Linked DNA regions of Arabidopsis thaliana. The protein of the gene in region 1 interacts with the protein of each later gene in a pairwise test. Each region holds a gene or a part of one and is shown in the gene's direction. Other genes may lie near its edges.

The links. Proteins that work in one complex are often made in the same cells at the same time.
Region 2: the proteins of BMY2 (region 1) and HD2C interact in a two-hybrid assay, tested with the Arabidopsis thaliana proteins (one large-scale study listed by BioGRID).

The regions. Positions count from the first base shown.
Region 1 is NC_003076.8:18,351,032-18,358,437, forward strand, and holds BMY2 (beta-amylase 2), read left to right. Parts: upstream 1-2,493; 5' UTR 2,494-2,562; coding exon 2,563-3,081; intron 3,082-3,254; coding exon 3,255-3,482; intron 3,483-3,566; coding exon 3,567-3,647; intron 3,648-3,790; coding exon 3,791-3,994; intron 3,995-4,117; coding exon 4,118-4,312; intron 4,313-4,433; coding exon 4,434-4,598; intron 4,599-4,687; coding exon 4,688-4,948; intron 4,949-5,029; coding exon 5,030-5,242; intron 5,243-5,330; coding exon 5,331-5,550; intron 5,551-5,639; coding exon 5,640-5,665; 3' UTR 5,666-5,857; downstream 5,858-7,406. Other genes in the region: AT5G45290 (RING/U-box superfamily protein), read right to left, coding at 1-786, 861-1,061.
Region 2 is NC_003076.8:979,758-985,847, forward strand, and holds HD2C (histone deacetylase 2C), read left to right. Parts: upstream 1-2,101; 5' UTR 2,102-2,236; coding exon 2,237-2,249; intron 2,250-2,581; coding exon 2,582-2,652; intron 2,653-2,729; coding exon 2,730-2,941; intron 2,942-3,054; coding exon 3,055-3,104; intron 3,105-3,217; coding exon 3,218-3,357; intron 3,358-3,570; coding exon 3,571-3,663; intron 3,664-3,799; coding exon 3,800-3,893; intron 3,894-3,992; coding exon 3,993-4,204; 3' UTR 4,205-4,532; downstream 4,533-6,090. Other genes in the region: AT5G03750 (E3 ubiquitin-protein ligase), read left to right, coding at 5,039-5,148, 5,262-5,487, 5,567-5,740. UniProt on the Arabidopsis thaliana protein: Probably mediates the deacetylation of lysine residues on the N-terminal part of the core histones (H2A, H2B, H3 and H4).

The DNA.
Region 1 (7,406 bases):
TCGAATGCTAGAAGCGGAACGATTTAGTATAGACGTTGAAGTCACAGGAGCATCCTCTGCTGCTGCGGTTTCAGCAGAGAAGAGATCAGTATCTTCTTCTCCCTGATGTGGCGAGGGACGGAATGCGAAATCAGAGAGTGAAGATCGGCGAAGAACTCTATCACGGAGTCTTCCAACACTCAGAGTTCTACTAAATCTAACATTGCGCTCAATAGAAGGTTCTCGTACAACATGTCTTCTATCAAGAAGTCCAGCATAAGTACTATCCATACCATTAACTACTCTCGGAGAACGTAAGCTACCATCTTCCCCAAATCTCATGGCATCAATATCTCTAACTACATTGTCAATCACAGGAATTCTCGGAGACTCAACTCTATCATTGAGCCTAATAGCAGATTCTGAAGGTGAAGTAACACCATCTTCTCTATGAGAAGAAGAGACTGGATAAGTCGTGTTGAAGGATCTTGAACTTGAAGCTCTGCTAAGTCTAGAGCTTATGTTACCAGGAATGAATTTGAAATGCGAAAAAACTCGACCTGGAGTAGAAGATTCTTGAATCGAACCGCTAACATTTCTCATCTGTACATTGCTTACACTAGCTTCCTCTTCTTCTTCTTCAACACCACACTCATCATCAAGCTCAAGCTCATCACAATGTCTTTCGTTTTCAGATTTCTTATCATCTTTCAATTCTTTATCATAGCAATCTGATGCATCTCTTCTCGATTCCATTCTACGCCGTGTAACACTTCCATGACTCTTCCTCATCCATCCATTACACACCTGAAGAAATCAAAACTCATGAACTTGACCTAATTTCAGATTTGACCAAAATAAATTAAATATCAAAACCAGACCTGTTCATCATTATCATCATCACTGTAATGAGAAGTAGAAGATGAAGCAAGACAAGAAGAGTGAAGACCACAAAAAAGACTCTTTGATCTTCTTCTCCTTCCACCACCACTAGAAGACGACGGAGGAGGTTGAGCCACGTCAGAAGCTTCTCTCGCCATCGCCGACGAGCCTAGACATGATTTGCTCCGGCCAGATCCCATCTTCTTCTCAAAAGCAAACAACTTTCTGCTAAAATTACATCATTGACACAAGACCCACAAGTCTTTTCCCCATCTTCTTCAAATCCACCAATCGAAGAAACCTCCAAGTCAAAATCTAAAGATCGAAACTTTTTCCTCAGATCTTTACATTGAAACCCGAATTCGTCATTGACAATGCAGAATCAAAAGCCCTAATTATTGAATCCCCAGATCTGAAACTCGATCGAGATTGCAAGAATACCTCGAAATCTGAACTTTTTTTATTGCGAGAAATTAATGTAGGAACTAAGCTATGTGTGTTGTCTTTGAATCAAAGAGAAATGCTTTGAAGAAAAGGAAAGATTTTTAGGTGATCGGAGTAATCGAAGAAGGAGACAAAGCACCTATCTGCGATAGAGAGAGAGACTTTTACGGGAAGAGTGTGTCTTGATGTTCGAACGAGAGGGAACAAAAAACCAAACTCACCATTTCTTTATTTTTCTTTCTTTTCTTTTTCAAACTATTATAACATTCTTTTGTTTTCGTTCGATTTTTTAATCTTTTTTGCAATCATAATTGGACTTCATTGAGGACTATAATTGAGAAAAAAGCTTTGAAATGGTCATTGAACAGTGATCACTTAGATGAAAAATAGTTGTAACCAAACCAAACTAGAATATTCAAACTATACTCAAAACTGAAATTTTGTTGACAAAGCCTTTTGGTTTTATAAATTGCGAAGCAGAAATACAAAATCGAACCAAAATCGAACCAAAATCGAATCTATATTCTCAAAAATTAAAATATAATTGAACTACACTAACTTCAAAGAAAGAAAGAAAAAAGATATATTAAAAATAGAAAAAAAAAATGAGTTGAAAAAAGTAAATCACAATAAACTAAAATATACAAATCATTTTTTTTTATGAAGTGATTGTTTTCAGTATTTTACAATTTAGATATAGTGGCATTCTAGCTTCAGAAGATTTTTGTTGGACCGGCCCTGTAAAGTCGATTTAAAGACCAAACAAAAACTAATTTTAACATGATAAAATCGAATCAAATAAACGGAAATTCATTAACATTTTATTTATAATTATAATGTTAATTTTACTAAAACCTACCTAAAATAAAAACCTGAGTCAAAATATGTAAACTAATTTTAACATGATTTTGGTTTGATTTACTAAACCAAAATCAAATCAAAAGACAAATTATGTATTTATGTTATTCAGTTTTTCTTTTCTAAACTAATAAAACCATGAAAAAAAGGATTGGAAACAAAACCGTAAAACCCATCGTGTCATTCCTAACAAACCCATCAGTAATTCAGTATCACTTTGTCAAAACTGGTCACATTGGCTATTGTTGAACAAAAAAAAAAGAGAGGTTTTTGACCAAAAAAAAAAAAAAAAAAGGAGGGGTTAATATTGACGATTTTGATAATGAGAGACTTTTAACGTAATTTATAATAATTACCGACGTTGATTTGTAAATCCATAAAGTTACAAAAAAATCTCAAATGTGGGAACAGCACAGAAGCGAGCAACTTCACCGCACAAAAATGCATACTCTCAACAACACCATCACCACCACCACCGGTTCGCAAGATCCGAATCTCGACCCAATTCCAGACCCGGATCAATTTCCCAACCGGAACCGCAACCAACCACAATCTCGCCGCCCTCGCGGATTCGCCGCTGCAGCAGCAGCAGCGTCGATAGCTCCAACGGAAAACGATGTAAACAACGGAAACATCGCCGGAATCGGCGGTGGAGAAGGAAGCAGCGGCGGCGGAGGAGGTGGAGGAGGGAAAGGGAAGAGAGAGAGGGAGAAGGAAAAAGAGAGAACGAAGCTTAGAGAAAGACATAGACGAGCAATCACTAGTAGAATGCTCGCCGGATTAAGACAGTACGGTAATTTTCCGTTACCGGCGCGTGCTGATATGAATGACGTAATCGCTGCTTTGGCTCGTGAAGCTGGTTGGAGTGTTGAAGCCGATGGTACTACTTATCGGCAATCACAGCAACCAAATCATGTGGTTCAAACTTCGAAACTCTCTCTCTCAAAATTCAAACTTTCATATTAAGCTATTTAAGTTAGGGTTTAGTGGAAAGATGATAAATTTGATCCCAAATATGTGTGAAGCTCTTAAAGTTATAAGCTTTGTTCTGTTATTAATGTAACATAGATTGTTTAATATTATTGGATTAGGTACAGTTTCCGACGAGATCTATTGAGAGTCCACTTTCTTCTAGTACATTGAAGAACTGTGCTAAGGCTGCAATTGAATCTCAGCAGCATTCAGTTCTTAGGAACGATGAGAAACTTGCTCCTGTGTCTCTTGATTCTATTGGTATTGCCGAGAGTGATCATCCCGGGAATGGAAGGTATACTAGTGTTAGTCCTATCACCTCCGTTGGATGCTTGGAAGCCAATCAGGTGAATGATAAATTCATTTCCTTATTAGGAGAATTGACTTTAAGCTGGACGTTGTTTCATCTAACCACTTTGTTTTTCTTTCAGCTTATACAAGATGTTCATTCCGCAGAGCAATGTAATGACTTCACAGAGAGCTTTTATGTCCCTGTGTACGCCATGCTTCCAGTGAGCTTCTGATGAGAGAACTTTGTGTTTTAAGTGTATATATATGGATGTTGCCCAATAAAAAAGAGTGTACATATATTTCTTACCAGTTTTGCCGCGATCCTTAGTTTTCCTGTGCTAAAGTTCTGTACCTTGTCTTTCAGGTTGGCATTATAGACAACTTTGGCCAGTTGGTTGATCCTGAAGGTGTAAGACAAGAATTAAGTTACATGAAGTCATTAAATGTCGATGGAGTAGTAATAGATTGTTGGTGGGGAATAGTTGAAGGATGGAACCCTCAGAAATATGTATGGTCTGGCTATAGGGAGCTCTTTAACCTTATCAGAGACTTCAAACTTAAGCTACAGGTGTGAATATTTTTACTTGTAGAGCTTTGTTAAATACATCCTATGTGACCAAACTGTGACTTTCCCTATAAAGGACCGTCTTTTTCATAATATCTTAGCAATCAGTATATGGTTTGTTTGAAGGTGGTGATGGCATTTCATGAGTATGGAGGGAATGCATCTGGGAATGTGATGATTTCGTTGCCACAGTGGGTGTTGAAGATTGGGAAAGACAATCCAGACATTTTTTTCACTGATCGTGAAGGAAGAAGAAGTTTCGAGTGTTTGAATTGGAGCATTGACAAGGAACGGGTATTGCATGGACGAACTGGTATAGAGGTACTCAAAGAACACTCATTGCTCAGAAATTGTTCAGTATTTTGGTATATTATGTCTCATTTCCTCCTCTTTTGTACTGTCTAGATTCTTATTTCTTCCTTTTCAACACTTGATTATCCAGGTCTATTTTGATTTTATGAGAAGCTTCCGGTCAGAGTTTGATGACTTGTTTGTGGAAGGACTAATTACTGCGGTTGAGATTGGTCTTGGAGCTTCTGGTGAACTAAAGTACCCATCTTTCCCAGAAAGGATGGGTTGGATTTATCCCGGTATCGGTGAGTTTCAGGTATTTTTCAGATTGCTGAACTTTACTTCTACGTTCTAACTTATGACTAGTGAAGTTAACATATCAATTTACTATTTTTCCTATTGCAGTGTTATGACAAATATTCGCAATTGAGTCTGCAAAAGGAAGCAAAGTCACGAGGATTCACTTTCTGGGGTAAAGGACCAGAGAATGCTGGTCAATACAGTTCTCATCCACATGAAACTGTGTTCTTCCAAGAAAGAGGTGAATATGACAGCTATTATGGCCGCTTCTTCTTAAATTGGTACTCACAATTGCTAATTGGTCATGCTGAGAATGTTCTGTCTCTTGCAAATCTCGCATTTGAGGAGACGAAGATTATTGTCAAGGTATAATCCTTTTGGCACTTATCCTTCAAACCCAGTGATGCCTATAACAATGAGACTCATACACCAAAAACAACAATGCAGATACCGGCAATATACTGGTCATACAAGACAGCTAGTCATGCTGCTGAATTAACTGCAGGATACTACAACCCTTCAAACCGTGATGGGTACTCTCTTGTTTTCGAAACTCTGAAGAAATATTCCGTGACTGTGAAGTTTGTGTGCCCTGGGCCACAAATGTCTCCCAATGCGCATGAAGAAGCATTAGCTGATCCAGAAGGTTTAAGTTGGCAGGTAATGACACTTTTTATTGATGACTATAGCTTTTTTTACTTCTCAGCAAATGTAATCTTAACCCTAAAGTTTTGGTTATTTGTGGCAGGTGATCAACGCAGCTTGGGATAAGGGACTTCAAATCGGTGGAGAGAATGCGATTACTTGTTTCGACAGAGATGGTTGTATGAGATTAATCGATATAGCTAAACCAAGAAACCATCCAGATGGCTATCACTTCTCCTTCTTCACATATCGTCAACCTTCTCCTCTGGTTCAAGGATCTACTTGCTTTCCAGATTTGGACTACTTCATTAAACGCATGCATGGTAAGATTTACCCGCACGCTTGATTGTGCCTTCCCTTTAGATTCGTTGTCAAAATCTTTGTTCTTACAACTATATTTGTTTCTTTGCAGGCGACATAAGAGATAAACAGTTTTAGGATTTGCATGGTCTTAGGATTCTTTTAGTAAGTGTCTTTTGTTTAAAACTTCAAAATCTGTTTTGTTTTGTTTATTCTCTCCTCAAGGCCTATATTTAAGACGATTGATCTTGTAATCTTTAAACACCTTAACACTTCACTAGTTGAAGATGAACTAACTAATTAAATTCTTAAATGCATTCTAATCCGACTCGCGTAAAGTAGACACTTGTTTAGTTTTATTTTGAAAAATACAAGAAGGTATTGATGTCTAATGAATACAACCGAAAAGTGTTGCCTAACTCTTATACCTTTTTGTCTAAATTATTCTTAGAATAACCTTTTTGACTATATATGCCCGAATCCGATTACATTAATGGTATTAATAATTTTTGTTCAAAGTTACATTTTTCTTTTGTATCATTCAAATAATATTCTGATAAAATCCTGATTTTTCATGATTGTATTTGACATTTTAGATCCAACCAAATCTTTGAAGAACAAATAAAGAGGGGAAAAAAAGACCAACATGTCCTTTTGCATTCAGTGTTAATTCATGGACAATATAATGTTGGTCCGTACGAAAATTTGATTTTGTATCTAAAGAAGCATAAGAAATAGGGTTAGTTAACCACAACGAACAAAGCCTCTATTATACATATCTAAATGTGGGATAATGAGGCAAAATGTCCAATATGATTAATGAAAAAGATGGAAAAAAAGTCTTAGGTGGTGTGTGATTTAAACTGTGTTTTAATTACTTTAAATGATATGAAAAATCTGTTATTATTTAATCAAGATTCTATTAAATTCTGTTAAAGTTTTTTTTTTAGTAGTAGAGGGGAAACAACCGTCTCCCGCAATTTATTGAAACTGAAAAGAAATTACAAAACGGTAGGCGGGTGAGCCTCGGAAACGCAGTTCCTCGGACATCCTCCCTTACAATCTCCTCCACCAATGAGGGAGCTAAATCAAACTAATGAATACCTAAAGATAGATTAAAAGCATAGTTCGCTAACCCGTCTGCAAGGCTGTTAGCCTCCCTATATACATACGGTTAGCTTCTCTGTTTTAGTTTGATGTTATTAGTTTTTGATTTATTAAAAAATCTTTAAAACTCTTAATAAATTTGGATTTATTGGAATTATATTTTAAAGTCATTGAAAATTTTGTGTTATTCAACTAAAACAAAAAAAATATTTGATTGTTAATGAATTAAATTATTCTGTTATTGGTTTATGATTTTCTATATTTTTACTAACAAAATAAAATCATAAAAAATATAATCGAATGTTTGACAAAAAAAGTATAATCAAAATAGAGATATTGTTTGAAAAACTTTACAAGATTGTGAAAAATTAATTTACATGATTATAGAAAACTCTCTAGCAATAGTTTATCAACAATGATACATTTTTTTTGCTTTAATTGAATATCACAAAATTTTAGCTATAAAAACATGAATCTGATAATTCCAAGAGTATGAATATTTTAGATTATATTTTATAAATCTTAAAACTAATAAAATCAAACTTTAACAAACAAAAAAAAATGAAAATGTTGATTAAATAACAAAAGATTTTACATAATATTAGAAGTCACTAAAACTCTATTTAAATCACAAACCAATAACATCATCAAAATAAACAAAAGAAAAATATACGTCATCAACGGCGTTTACTATTCTGAACGAAATTGTATAAATCTCATCATCACTAACCTAAAACCAGCATAAACCCTAAAATTTTCTCAAAACCCCATA
Region 2 (6,090 bases), about 17 Mb from region 1:
AGCTAGCCACTTGTTTCTCTCTCTAGTTTTTCATTTTTTTTTTGTACTTTTTAAAAAAGTCTCTCTCTCTCTCTCTCTCTCTCTCTCTCTCTAATGGAATTGGATTTTTTTTTTGTTTTTGCGTTATCATAGGAAATAAACTTACTCGGTGCGTTTCTGTTGATAATTTCGTTATATTCCTCTTTTGTCCTCCTTTTTATGGAACTTTGACATTTTTTTTATTTTTTGTCAAAACAATTCTCCAATTTAGTTTGTTTTTTAGTGTATTATTATTTGTCTAATTTTTGTATTCGACTATGATATCTATTCATATGTTTTGTGCTAATTTAATCGCTAATAAAACTGTTTAAACAATTAATTTGGTATTTCATATTTTGGTGATAAGCAACTGAAATTGGAAGATAAAAAGTAGTATCGTAGTGAAAGTAGAAAACGCAAAGCTAAAAGAGGAACATACACAGTGTAAAATACTAAACCATCTTGCCTATCAAATCCAAATACTATCAAATTTGATCTTTTACACCAATCTGAATCCGTAACATTGGATCCAAGTTTCGTATACCTAAACATGAAATTTTCATTCGGCTCTACGTAGTCTAAAAAACTCGACATAAAATAAATAAAAAGCCTTTATAACGTCCACAATATTTAGAATAGAAAGTGAGAGAATGGACTATAATAAAATAATTGGAGTCGAGGGGGATGTATTCGTGTATGCGAAAATGGATGGGCTCTTCTGTCTTTATATTCCTTAATTTGTCTATTCAAACACATTCGTATTTCTGGTCTTCGGCCTGCGACTTCTATACCATGCATGCATCTTATCTCTCTCTTTTTTTTTTTTTTTCGTTTTCTTTTCTACTTCTCCATTTTTTTTTAATTTGGTTATTTTTATTGCCTTTATGTTTTTTGTGTATTATATATAAATGAACTAATAATACTTCATTATGTTTCGTGTTATTATAAGTGAATTTTTCACAACCATTACAAAAAATTATCTTTTGCTTAAAAGTTAACTTTGGATTATAGTACTTCATAAAAATGTAAAGATTTTGATCAAGTACTTATCAACGCAGCTTGGGTAGTCAATGTGCTGTCATTAATTTATCTATCAAGCTATCCACGCAGCTTGGACAATAAATAAATATTTAAATTCTATTGCATATTTATATCATTTGATCCGCTAAGGTTCATCGAATACTGCCAGGTTCATTGCACTCAACGCATTTTTGTCATTAACTTACGTTTTTTAGCCATGGCTGCTGAGAATATAAAGTTGCTACTATGTAAAGAAACTTTTGGGTTTGATCATATTTGTGCACAAAAAAAAATAAAAAAAAAATCATACTTTTAAAACTAGTATTAATCCAAAAAGTGCTAAAACATAACAAAAAAAAATTCTCCTTAACTACTATACAAACATATATTTTTTTATGCGCATAAATTAAAACTTAACAATTGATTATGATCACATATGTTGAAAAAAATCGAAATTATGTGTGATATGTAAAACCGGAGTATAATATTGGTAAACTATAAATTTAAGAGCATTGGAAAATGTTCATGATTCATGCCGAGAACTCTTCTAAATCTAAACACGAGAGGCCCCGAATAGATCTAACTAAAATGAATTGTGTTTAATATAATAATAGTGTTCCTTAATTCTCACTCGTGCAACTATCCATTTAATAATTTTAATTATTCGTAGTCGGGGACCGTACTTAGTTTTATCATATAAACTCTTCACAGATTTTGTTAACTGGTTTTTCTTTGGATTAGAAAAAAATTAAAACTTTGCGATACATTATGCTCAATTTATCCGTGGGACTTATTTTGAGGAATGGAGATAGATATTGTCATGAAGACATGAATATATAGACCCCACATGTTGACGAAAACTCCGTCAGTCAAATAAAGTGTTAAAAGTCCGTTACGATCCGTCCTGACACCGTTAAAAAAAGCCGTCAAAATAAAGTATGGGCTTGAAACGTTAGTTTTGTTGGGCTAATTTTAAAATCATGGCCCAACTAAAGGAGATATTCGAGTGGACCGCGTAACAGAGGATCCCTAAAATCCCTTCCTCCGATTAATAAATTCCAGCGGACATTTTAGCCTTCTCACATCAACACGCCCTAAAACCGCTCTCGAGAGACGAATCGCTCTCAGCTTCTTCTAGAACCTTCTCCTTCTCCTTCGACGCATCGTCGCCTTCAAGATCACACTACCTCGCACAACAATGGAGTTCTGGGGTAAAAAACATCTCCTATCTTACTCCTTCTTCTTCTTCGTTCTCTGCGCTTCATTTCCTGCATTTAGTTTTTTTTTAGCTTCTGGTTTCATCGCTTTTTTTCGTTTTGCCATGTTTTTCTACTGTTTTTTCTATGGAATCTTCTGTTTAGCTAAACGAGAAACGGGAATAGTGAGTATATGTGACAATCTAGGGTATGGACTGTTCGTCTTCGTAGAAAATTGGGGAAAACTGAAAAGTTTTCTCTCTCGCTAGGTTTTAACTCCGATAGAGGTTTCATTTGGGGATTTTGTTGCAGAATTACTGATTTGTATGCTTTCTATGCGTTTGCAGGTGTTGAAGTTAAGAATGGCAAACCACTTCACCTAGATCCTGGGCTAGACAGGCTCGTGCACATCTCTCAGGTACTTTTGAATTTGCAAGCTTAATTTGATTTATAAGAATGTATTTTACAGTGACGTTTGGTTTATTTTTGTTGAAGGTTGCTTTGGGAGAGAGTAAGAACAATGTAACCGAACCAATCCAGCTTTACGTGACTGTTGGATCGGATAAGCTTCTCATTGGAACGCTATCTCATGAGAAGTTTCCTCAGCTGTCTACGGAGATTGTCTTGGAAAGGAACTTTGCGCTGTCTCATACTTGGAAGAATGGGAGCGTTTTCTTCTCTGGTTACAAAGTTGATGCATCTGATCCATATCCTTTACTATTTGAACATTTTTGTTGTTATCGCTTTAAGCTTTGTTGATGAAAATGTTTTGGGGACTTGTTGCTTTACTCTGTTTTTGACTTCCTTGACTCTATCTCACCGAGCCTGAGGATTTGATTGATGATCAACTTGAGGCTGCTGGTTTCAAAGGTAAATGGGGACTTTTATATCCAGTCCTGCAATGATTTGTCTCCAGTTGTCTTATTTTAGTTTATTTAAGAACATCAATCTCTTATAAATTTATTTGGCCTTGGTTGAGCCAGCTGCTCCGAAATCTGCTGCGAAACAGGTGAACTTTCAGTTGCCAAATGAAGATGTCAAAGCCAAGCAAGATGATGACGCTGACGGTAGTGAAGAAGATTCTTCAGATGATGATGATAGTGAAAACTCTGGAGACGAGGAGGTACTTTTATCTATATATACTAGCTCAATTTGTTATAGAATTTTACTTAGGCTCAGTGACATGTTGATTAAACCTATAGACAGTGGTACTAGAGTTATCTTAAGTATGTTTGTAACTTCTATATTTGCATTTTCACATGAACCCTTGATTACCTATTGTGTTTTAGCCCATTCTCACATTTCTTTAATCCTTATCATGGCTGCTTTGTTTCAGGAAGAGAAGGTTACTGCTGAATCTGACAGTGAGGAAGATGACTCATCAGACGACGAAGAAGATGACTCCTCAGAAGAGGAAACCCCAAAGAAGGTAACATGACAGTCTCTTTTATGTGCTTGTTGATGGGAAACCTATATTTGTTCTATCTTATCTTCCTTTGGGAGCAATTTCTCTGCTTCTGTGGTCAAGCTCGAATCTGATTCTAAGTTTTCTTGGTTTATAAAAGCCTGAAGAACCCAAGAAGAGGTCTGCAGAACCCAACTCCTCCAAGAACCCTGCGTCCAACAAGAAGGCTAAGTTTGTAACTCCTCAGAAAACAGGTGATTAAATCCTTTTTACCAATCTCCCCATTGAATACTTATTTTAACGATAGAAAGGAAGATTGATTTGTTTAATTAAAAAACATTCGGACAAAGCAGATTCGAAGAAACCGCATGTCCATGTTGCAACTCCTCATCCCTCAAAACAGGCGGGTAAGAATTCTGGTGGAGGCAGCACTGGAGAGACATCGAAGCAGCAGCAGACACCGAAGTCTGCAGGAGCGTTTGGGTGCAAGTCGTGCACCAGAACCTTTACTTCGGAAATGGGATTGCAGTCTCACACAAAGGCCAAACACAGTGCAGCTGCTTGAGAAGAAGAAGCAGCATGATGACTACTCTCTATAATATCTACTCTAGAACTTTGATGTCTTTTGGTACTTAAATCTGGAACTTGCGAGTGAGCCAGTTTTAGTTGGTCTTTTTTTTCAGGCATTTCTTCCTGTTTAACTTTATCGTTTTGGTAGCTGAAACTGTGCTAAACCTTTGTTTGTGTTTAGTGGTATGGATATTAAGTCTTTTTGTAGACTTTTCTAGTGAAAATCTACATTTGAAATTCTCTGTCCAAAACATACATTGATTGAAGATTAGTTAGCATGTCACTTTGTAACATAATCTAATGGACCCGAAATTAAGGATTTTTAGGGCTTGTGGTTAATATGCAGCTACTACACCAGTTTGCGTATATAAATATAATAGGAAGAGAAAAATAATAACAAGCAGGTTTGCCCGAGTGGTTAAGGGGGAAGACTTAAGTTCTTCTGCACATAAGTGCGCGTGGGTTCGAACCCCACAGCCTGCATTTCCCCTCTATTTTGTTAAAATTAATAAACTTGTTGTGTTCCTTCCACTTTTGCTGTCTTCCAAAGGTTTCCAACTTCCGCTTCGTATTTCTCTGATTGTGAATTAACCAAATCACACCAAGAATCATAATACTAATTGGTTTTCATGTAGAGTTTCCTTTTTTGCGGTTTTCATGTTGAAGAAAAAAAGGAAACGCAAGTATTAGTTTTCTTTTAATCGAGCTTACTTTTTAAGCTGCTTTGCTCTTTATATACAGATTGCTCTGTTTTGTAAGAAGCTAAGTTTTGGGTTTTGCCTTAATGCAGCGACTACGGCGTTTCGTCTGTGGTAATGTCGGAATAACAATGGAAGTATTCGATGAACCTGATGAGGAAGAAGAACGCCAAATTAGCCAATACATCGATGTGGTAGACTCACCTAGGGTTTCACAGAACGAGAGTGAGTATCAAAGAAGGTCATCAGAAAGTGTTTGTTCATCATCGTCTTCAGGATTGCAGGAGGATAAAGAATCATTATGTTCGATCTGTATGGAAGTTTGGACCAACGGTGGCGTTGTTCGTCTACCAGCTGCACCTTGTCTTGTTCTTGGGATCTCAACAACTATCACAATGTTTATGCTGGACTACAGAATGGAATGGTTTTAGTATTTGACATGCGTCAAAACAGAGGACCTTTGGTTTCGTTGGCTGACGTAACAAGCAATTCGGTTCATATTGTAGATGGATTTCATGTTTGTCTCAAGAGAAGAGGTGATGGTTCTTATTCTCAGAAACAGTCATCCACACAAGCTATAGTAGATGCCATCAGTTTGCCAAGAACGGCGATTAGACTTTGGCGAGGAAATGACACAACTTTTTGCATCGTATGATGAGTCCACCCGTGAACTCATCTTGCAAGATCCTTGGTCTTTTGCTGTCTCACAACGGTTCGCATTGTCAAGTCAACTTCCGCTTCAAGATGTGAAATACGCTAACCTCAATGGCTCGGGTCTGCTCGGTCTCTTAACCAATGATAGATTCCAGTTTCTTAGAAGCGAATCTCCATGATCGTTGTTGTAGAGATTAAAAAACAGTTTGTTGAAGAGCAAACATATATGTAAAGTGACCAACTTCTCTATCTTTGATTGCTACTATTAGTTATAAAATCTATATAGCTACAATATCCATAAATTGTTTAAAGCTTTGAATCTATTTGTTCAGTTAAGTTCTTTTGTCTAGCGATAAGTCAAAAATCATTTGCCTTCAAGGAATCTGAAAAAAACCTTCAAAGTATATTTCTTCTTTACTATAAGTATCCTTTATCTTCCACACTACACACACCATTTCTGTAACAATGGTATCATCAATTCTCTCTATTCACACCAACAAGAATTTAAATAGCTAGCGAATCCAAAAAG